2 linked regions of the Rattus norvegicus genome follow. The protein of the gene in region 1 interacts with the protein of each later gene in a pairwise test. Links are inferred from orthologs where the notes say so. Each region holds a gene or a part of one and is shown in the gene's direction. Other genes may lie near its edges. The genes, in order: Fkbp8 and Zfyve27.

Region 1 (4,552 bases):
ACATGGTGGGGCGGGGGCCAGTGGCACAAGCACCTTACAGACCTGAGCTCCCTCAGTCTACAGAACCAACATGTTAGGACAGAACTCATTCTTGCAAATTGTCTTTTGGCATTCCCTTGTGTATCTGGGAGCAAGTTCCATATAGATGTGTAAGTGTATGTATGTATGTATGTATTCCCACGTGTAAAAACAAACAAAAAAAGACACTGAGGTCTGCACTGCTCAACTGAGCAGCAGCTTAACATGTGCAAAGGCCCCAGAATCCATTCCAAGTACTAAGAACCAAAGAACAACAAAAAACAACCCACTGGGTTTCAGATATGGTCAGGTTCAAAGCCCTCAGAACTGGAACTAGCCCATGGTTTCTTTGATATCAAGTGAAAGAATTACACAATCATTCTTGAAAGGGGACAGCCCAGGGAGGGCATAAAACAGCTCTGGAGAGTGGATGAGCACTATCTGGTGAGAGGTGCCTGCCTTCTCTCTGGTATCTAGCACTTCTGGCGGAGCTTTCTGGGAAAGCAGGCACTTACTGAACACCTGTATGCTGCAGGTGACTATCGTGAAACTAGAACATAGTGGCTGGGGGCCGTAGAGTGTCCACTTGGACTTGTCACTGTCCCTCAGCTTTGACCTACTATTCTTTTAGACAGTGTGAATTCTGATCCTCTGACGCCCACTTATCAAATGCTGAGATGACAGGCAAGGGCCCTCCCTGGCTTCCTCACCACGTCCCTACCTTCGATGTAGTTTAGTAAGCAGTCACACAAGACCCCCCGAAACCTCACAACAAGCTAAACACCTTGTAGTCAGAAGTGTTGGCTCCCAGCAATCAGGAAGTTGAGGCAGGAAGATTGCTGCCCGCTTGTGCTACATGGTCAGACCCTGGCTAACTAAAAGACAATATAAAACGTGAGACAAAAGAGAATACTATGGGGTGCTGAGAGTGGGAGAATTCCTCTTCTCCATGGAAAAACACATCCAATACCAAATGGTCAGCCCTGAACACATGCATAGAAGTGGCATCACACAGACTAAACAACTTGTATCTAGGAATATATATGTATATGGATATATTTATGTGTGTGTGTATTATGTAACAACTGTTAATTAATAAAAATGATAAACTTAAAAAAAAGAGAGAATACTATAATAAAAGAATTGAGACCGGTGTGGTGGCACACACCTTTAATCCCAGTAGCAGGCAGAGGCAGTATGATGTCTGAGTTCAAGGCCAGCCTCATCTGGTATATGTGCTGATCCAGGACAGCCAGGACTACAGAGCTCCCCACGCCCCAGGAGAACAGAGGGGGTGGGGGGAAGAGGACATGAAATGAAGTGTTAAGTAAAATTATGAAAAATTACTGTTTTCTAAAGAGCCCCAAACTGGCCGCTCATGAGCTGCGGTGTTTCTTGTTTATTTCTAATTCGTATGTGAACAGGAGGAAGCCCGACACGGTGTAAACTAAAATCAGGACGTGCTGCTACCTTCGTCTCCTGAGGCTCAACCAAGTGCGTTCCCACCCCCTAATCACTACAGCCTCTCCACCCAGAGGCTAGAGCCCCTTTAAGAACGGGCAGCGGAGCTTACCAGGAAAAAGGCGGTGTCCAGGGCGCGAGACAGACGTGTGCAGAAGCCAATAAGCGTGGCAGCCGCGGCGTGACCAGCCAATGGGCACGCGGGGGCGGGGCTGCGCATCTGAAGCTGTTTCCCGAGGCGCGGCGGCCGCGACTGGGGGTGGGGAGGGGGGCACAGGACCCCAAGCGGGGTCCCCAAGCCGCAGGCACGTGAGACGGAGCGTAGCGAGGAGGCCGAGGCTCCCGGGGCCGAGGCCTCCCGAGTCTGCGGGGACCGGGGCCTCCCAGGGTGGTAGTGTCGACCGGGCGCGGGGCGGCGTTGGGGTGCGGGGCGCGCGGGGCATTGTGGGGGCTCGGGGTGGGAGGGTCTCCGGTCGGGGCCGGATCCCGGAAGGAGCCCCGCAGGTGAGGGTCGCAGGGCAGGGACGCGGAGCTCCGGGGCTTCCTGGAGCTTAAGGAGAGGGCCTGACAGGATGTACGGTTCTGCAGCTGGGTTGGGGATCCTCCGTAGAGAGGCCTGGGGCCAGCGAGATGGTGCAAGATTCAATATTGGTGTTCCCACTACTCTTTCGTTTTCATTTAATTTTGAGACTGGGTCTCATGTATTCTAACTCAGTCTTCCAAGTGGCTGTGTAGCTCAGGCTGGCCTTGAACTCCAGGCCTTCCTGTCTCAAGCTCCCAAGAGCTGGATGACAGGCGAGCACTGCCACACCAGGTTTTACAAGGGTGCTGATTCTAAAGCGGTGTGCTTGGTAGGAGAACGCTCTTCCAACGAATTACAACCTTAGCTTATGCTTTAAATTTCTGGAGACAGGGTGTCATGTAATTCATGAATTCCATGGCCTTGAATACCTGATCATCCTTCCTCCACCTCCCTATTGCTGGGATGAAAGACATTTGCTGATGCCTGGTTTCTGCAGTGCTGGGAATAGAACCATGGGTTTTGTGCTTGGTAGACAAGTGCCCTATTGCCTGAGCTATGTCCCCAGTGCCCTACTGTGATTAAAAGCTGGAAGCAGGCTTGATAATAGAGGCAGGTTGGAGCCATGGTCCCTGTTGTTGGAAGATTCAGTACCTTCAGGGTACGGAACAAGAGACATTAAGTATCTGGCACCAATTCTTTATTGCTGGAGCCTTTAGCAGATAAGGTAGCCAGAGGCAAGGACCTTTACAAAAATTCACTTTTCTCAAGAGATCCAGAAGTTATAAAAACAGCTGTCCCAGTTTGTGGAAAGGAATTAGTAAAAGTTTAAGAAAAAACAAGCAAACAAACAGCTGTCCCAAGGCCTCAGTGACTGTCCCCACTGCCTCAGTAACTCCAACACCCTTTTCTTGACATTCAGTTCAGTAACTTCTAAATCTTGGCCCTACTGCTAATTGGCTTGATTTCTGACCTTGACCAAGTGGCTTTGTCTTTCTGTGCCTGTTGGGTCTTTTTTGTGTAAGCTATGGTTTTCCTACGTTCTTGTTTATAAAGATTCCATGCTAATTACTTCTAATAACAGCTAAACCAGCTGTAGTTTGTGGCTCAGAGTGTGAGGTCTCTGCACCCTTCTTTCAACAAGCCAGGTTGGTAGGGTGCCCAGTATGTACATGATGAATGCAAGGGCTGGTGTTGCTGATATACTCCAGGGATGCCAGTTGTAGGGAACTGGAGCTTAGGAGAGTTAGAGGGCCTTCCTAGATGGGGTTATCACTGTCATGCTTAACTGTTCCCCTAGGGCCAGTTCCTGATCCCCCAGCAGCATGGCGTCTTGGGCCGAGCCCTCTGAGCCTGCTGCCCAGCTACTTTGTGGGGCCCCACTCCTGGAGGGCTTTGAGGTGCTTGATGGGGTTGATGATGCAGAGGAGGAAGATGACCTAAGTGGGTTGCCACCACTAGAGGATATGGGACAGCCTACGGTGGAGGAGGCTGAGCAGCCTGGAGCCCTAGCTCGGGAGTTCCTGGCAGCCACAGAGCCTGAGCCAGCCCCAGCCCCCGCCCCGGAAGAGTGGCTGGACATTCTGGGTAAGTGTGCTGGGTTGGTCAGAGGCACCTTGACCCAGGGATTTCTGGTCTCTTGAGCTTTGTTTCCCCTTCTGTGTGGGTTGGAAGTGACATTAGGATATCAGTGGCTGATTTTTATTTGTTTATTTTGAAATAACCTTACTGTGAAACCCAGGCTGGCCTTGAACTCACACTATAGTCCAAGCTGGGTCTGAACTTTGGATCTTCCTGACTCATTGTCTCAGGCTCGCTGGTCTCACAGGCCTGTGCTGTGTGGCTGGCTTCCGAGATGGCTTGATACCAGTGTGTTTGCTGGCTCATACCTTGCCTTGCTCACACAATCTGTAACAGGTTGCTTTCTACCCCCAGTGTTGGAAACAGCAGCTCAGAGAGGCTGAGTCACCTTCTTGGAGCCACACAGCCTTTGCACTGGGTGCCAGCAGCTCTAAGACAACTTCCACTACATCTTCCCTAAGCATTTGTGTAGATGTGTGACAGAGTCTTAAAAACTGGCACAGCCCAACAGAGCATCAGGTTCTGATCACCCTCCTCTTGTTCCACAACATTCATTTTCTCTCCTAAAATCCCTTCTCTAGATAGTGCCAGCAGGATTTTTGTGTTTCTTTTCTTTTCTTTTTTTTAATTTTAAATTTTTTTTTTTTTTTTGGAGGGGTGCTAGGGTGCTAGGGAATGGAAGGCAGAGGCTCTACCACTGGGGCTTACCCCTAACCTCTCACTAGGGAGTTCTAGTAAGGGTTTCTTAAAACCCTGACCAGCCGGAGCTGGAGAGGTGGCTTAATGGTTAAGAGCACCGATTGCTTTTCTAGAGGTTGTGTGTTCAATCCCCAGCACCTGCATTCACAGTTGTGTGTAACTCCAGTTTGCGTGAATATGGCACCCTCTTCTGGACTCTGTCAGCACTGCACCCATGCAGGCAGAATGCACATAGACATGAAATTAAAAAAAACAAAAAAACAAAAAACACAT
Region 2 (4,396 bases), on another chromosome or scaffold:
TCAAATCCCAGCAACCACATGGTGGCTCACAACCATCTGTAATGGGATCTGATGCCCTCTTCTGGCATGTCTGAAGGCAGCTACAGTGTACTCATCTATAATAAATAAGTCTTTAAAATTTTTTTTCCCTGTGGATCTTGTCTCTAGGAGAAGAAGCGTTACTAAGAGCAAAGATTTCAGGGCTGGAGAGATGGCTCAGTGGTTAAGAGCACTGACTGCTCTTCCAGAGGTCCTGAGTTCAAATCCCAGCAACCACATGGTGGCTCACAACCATCTGTAGTGAGATCTGATGCCCTCTTCTGGTCTGAAGACAGCTACAATGTACTTACAAATAAATAAATCTTAAAAAATTAAAAAAAAAAAAAAAGAGTAAAGATTTCAGAGCCTGTGGGACAATGACCAGCCTTAAGGAAGTGGGAAGAGTTGAGATTCCCCGTACAGCTGAGTCCTGACTGGCAGAGCAGGTGTGCCTGTTTCTCTGAAAAAGAGATGCTGGACGGATGTCAGGGAAGCTTTGGGGTGGTTCAGAGGAGTGGTTATTGTCGGTTGAGCGGCCTTCCCTGGCTGCTCACACCTGAGTCCTGCTAAGACAGTTGGTTTGCTTGCCTTTGGATGGAAGCAAGAAGCCGGGCAGGCAGGTGTGACAAGCAATTTGAGGAGTTGGCAGGAGTCCAGGGCCGTTGCAGGTAAAAACGGGGTTCAGTTGGCTGAGGCACTTGAAAGAGAACAAACAGCAGGATAGATGAAGCCAGTAGTTGCAGACTCATGTGGGCGGTGGTATGGCTGGGGTTACTGGCATCCAGTGATATATTTGGCTCAAATCCCAGTTCCAAGAGGTTTATGTGCTGTGACATTAAAGAAGTTACTTACCATGACTACAATTCCTCATCCGTGAAATGGTGATAACCCCAACAGGGTTGGTTATTGAAGGAGGAACAGATGAGATAATGTGAACACAAAGCTTACTGTACTGCCTGGCTGTTGGTTAATGCAAACCCATGGGAAGTGTGTTTTAAGGGACACCAGCTGGGTCACAAGATGTGAAGAAGAGTTAGGAACCAAGGAACCACCGGTCTGTCTCTGCTAGGCACCTGACATACAAGATGTGTTTTCTGCCTTCCCTAGCCTCTTTTTTATCCAGATTTTTATCCAGTTTTTATCCAGATTTTCTTTCTTTTTTATCCTTCTCCACCCCCACCCCTACCCTTTTTTGTTTTTGTTTTTGTTTTTGAGCCAGGAGCTCCCATAGCCAAGGCTGGCCTTGAACTAGCCTCCAGCCTCAGAAACTCAAAGGCTGTGGTTACAAGAAGTGCGTCACCACGCTAGGCTCTGTAACTGTCCTTGCTGTAATGTTCCGGAGCTAGGCTGGCTCCCAGGAATTAGGTCCTAGGTTTCCGGGTCATTAAAAGTGAGTCATCTCTTGTATGGCAGGGACGGAGTTAACCAGAAATTAGCCACAGAGGGGAAAAGTGCGCAGGCGCAGTATCGACGAGCTCGATCACCTGCGCTTGGGTGGGAGGGGCTAAACTCGGAGGCCCGACCCAAGGCGGGACGGGCGAGGTGACGTCACGGGCGCGCCACCGCAGAGTGAGTCGCGTCCCGGAAGCGACGGCGGTGGTGGGGCAGACTGTTCTCTGGTGGACTTGCGATTTCGGAGCGTCTGTGGGAGGTGGCGCGGCGTGGGGTGGGGCGGGCCTGAGGGGCCGCTCCCGGGCTTGGTGGCCCTTCTGTCCCCTTGGGCGCCCCTGCCCCTCCCATTCCTGGGACAGTGTCCGGGTAGGTGACGACCATCACGCCCCAGCCCCACTGTATTTATTTACAGAGCCTGGTGCTCCCGTCGGGAGGGGACCGCCACCTGCTGGCACAGCGATCTTAGGCGTGGCCTGCCTTGCGCCGCCTGGGAGGTGATGGTGGTCGAGGCCTCTGTCCGCATTGACCTGCTGAGCCTGTCTCGCGCTAGCCCGGGTTTGCTTTCTTCCTAGCACGTTCTATCGAGAGTTTGGGGTCCAGTGGACTCCTTTCCAAGTGATGAAAGGAGCCAGGGTTAAGAGCGTGACAAGAGTGTTGTTAGGAAAAATTCATGAACCTTTGGGAGCCCTGGTAAGGGTCACCCAGTGTACACTAGCGCGTTCATAAAGACGTCCCAGAGCAAGATGGTCCCCTAACCCTGACACCTGAAGGATGAGTAGGGGAAAAGAGAGGAGAAAGATATCACAGGACATCTTTTCTCTTGGGATTACCAATTACCTCCCTTCAACAATTAATGGCTTGTATGCTCTTGAAAAGTCTGTGAGGGAAAAGAGCGTTGGAGGGGCTCGTGAAGAACAGGCTTTATATCGAAGGTATCCCCTTCACTCTGCTGTTCTTCAGAAGGAACAAAGTTTCTTTCCGTGTGAAACGGGTATTGGTGCTTACCTCACATGGTTGATGCAAGGGGAAATGTGTTTGAAGACTGGACATGCATTGTGAGTGTGGGGAATTACGATTACAGAATGCAGTCTTCGGATCGGGACCTGAGTGGACCAGAGGCGAGCCCCAGCGTGATGCCTGAGGTTCTCTCTGAGTGTTCACCTGCCCCTACCAAGTCAACAGCGTTTGATCTTTTCAACCTGGTTCTGTCCTACAAGAGGCTGGAGATCTACCTGGAACCCCTGAAGGATGCAGGTGACGGTGTTCGATACTTGCTAAGGTACAGATTTCAGGGGTTGTTCTTCCTTTGGGCTCTCTTGTCTCCCTGGTCTTTAGCAGTTCTGGCCAGTTGGCAGTAGTCGGGCTGTCCTTTCTGCTCCAGTGATGACTAGTTCTGGTGAGACTAGTTGTCTGACCTCTAGACTTATTCAGAGCTAGTTGTGTTCTAGCTCTGTGCAGGAAAGGTGGGATCTGGGAACCACTTGGTCTTCCTCAGGACTCTGTGGTTGGATAAGCTCCTCTTAGGTACTGTCAGAAAGCCTTGGACATTGGCCTGGTATAGCTTAGAGCAGACTCTGGTCCGTCCCCCCACCCCCTTCTCTCCTAATATTAGCATAATTAATCTTAAAATCCTGGTTTTATTATTTTGTATGCATGTGGCATTGCGTGCAGGTCAGAGGGCAGCTTTTGGGAGTTGGTTCTCCTTCCATGGTGCATTCTAGGGATCAAACTCAGGCTTGGCAGCAAGCACTCTACTGGCTAAGCTATCTCACCGTCAAGTTATAATTTTAAACAAACCTCAACTACAAATACCTTTGAAAAAACTAGATGCCATTTTTATTTGTTATTTAGGATTATGGTTCTCAAATTTTTTCCTATTTTGCTTCATTTTATCCTCTGTAATTTTCTTCTAGGCTCCTTAACTTTTCCTTTTGTTGACGGTAGTCTGAAACTCGTAGTTCAGGCTGCTTGAAGACTTACAACAAATGTTCTGTTTCAGACTCACAAGTACCAGGACCAACTTGCTTAAAAAAATGTTTGGTGTTTGTTTGTTTTCTGAAACATGGTCTCATTGTGCATCCCTGGCTGTCCTGGAAGACACAGAGGTCTGACTGCCACTGTCTGCTGTGCTGTGATTAAGGGCACCACCATGCCTAGCCTGTGTTTTTTACATTAAAAATTATTTTCCTTAAGTGATTTATCTACGTTTTTAGATTTTACGTGTATGGCTTTATTATCTGTATATATTTCTGTGTACCATGTGTTTGTTTGGTGTCCTCAGAGACCAGGAGAGGTTGTCAGATCACCTGGAACTGGAGTTACATATGGTTTGACCTGCCGTGGGGGTGCTGGGAACTGAACCTGGGTCTTAACCAATGAATCACCTCTTCATCTCCTGGCTTTATTTATGTTAAAAAGTATTTTATCTGAGAATATGCCTATAATCCCAGAATTTAGGAGGTAGAGACAGGAGGATCAGATGTTCAAAAATCATCTTTCACTCCGTAGCAAGTTTGGGGCCAGCCTGAGCTATTTAACACCCCCTTCTCCCCAAAAAAGAACAGAACAGAAAGATAGCTTTAATTGCAAATAAATGGCTTTGCACTTCTGATTACTTCAGTTTATTTTTTTTAATGTATTTACTTATTTTATATATATGGATACACTGTAGCTGTCTTCAGACACATCAGAAGAGGGCATCAGATCTCATTACAGATGGTCATGAACCACCATGTGGTTACTGGGAATTGAACTCAGGACCTCTGGAAGAGCAGTCAGTGCTCTTAACCACTGAGCCATCTCTCCAGCCCCAGTTTATGTTTTTTAATAAAGGCATTTGATATCATCAAAGTCATGTTATACTTAGTTAAAAGTAATTCTTTGATATCTTTCTCTGGTCATTTCCCACTTTCCAATTTTTTCCAAGGATGTCACGGACACTTGTTTTGCATCTCCTGTCAGGTTCCTATCCAGCACTGTATTTTTT

The links.
Region 2: the proteins of Fkbp8 (region 1) and Zfyve27 interact in binary tests that used the Homo sapiens proteins (3 or more experiments, as listed by UniProt). The link is inferred for Rattus norvegicus from reciprocal best matches to the Homo sapiens genes FKBP8 and ZFYVE27.

The regions. Positions count from the first base shown.
Region 1 is NC_086034.1:18,933,724-18,938,275, reverse strand, and holds the start of Fkbp8 (peptidyl-prolyl cis-trans isomerase FKBP8), read left to right. Parts: upstream 1-1,732; 5' UTR 1,733-1,784; exon of another isoform or gene 1,785-2,053; intron 2,054-3,299; 5' UTR 3,300-3,324; coding exon 3,325-3,586; intron 3,587-4,552. Other genes in the region: Kxd1 (kxDL motif-containing protein 1), read right to left, coding at 1,592-1,699. UniProt on the Homo sapiens protein: Constitutively inactive PPiase, which becomes active when bound to calmodulin and calcium. Seems to act as a chaperone for BCL2, targets it to the mitochondria and modulates its phosphorylation state.
Region 2 is NC_086019.1:250,927,540-250,931,935, forward strand, and holds the start of Zfyve27 (protrudin), read left to right. Parts: upstream 1-1,591; 5' UTR 1,592-1,776; intron 1,777-2,491; 5' UTR 2,492-2,492; coding exon 2,493-2,689; intron 2,690-4,396. UniProt on the Homo sapiens protein: Key regulator of RAB11-dependent vesicular trafficking during neurite extension through polarized membrane transport. Promotes axonal elongation and contributes to the establishment of neuronal cell polarity.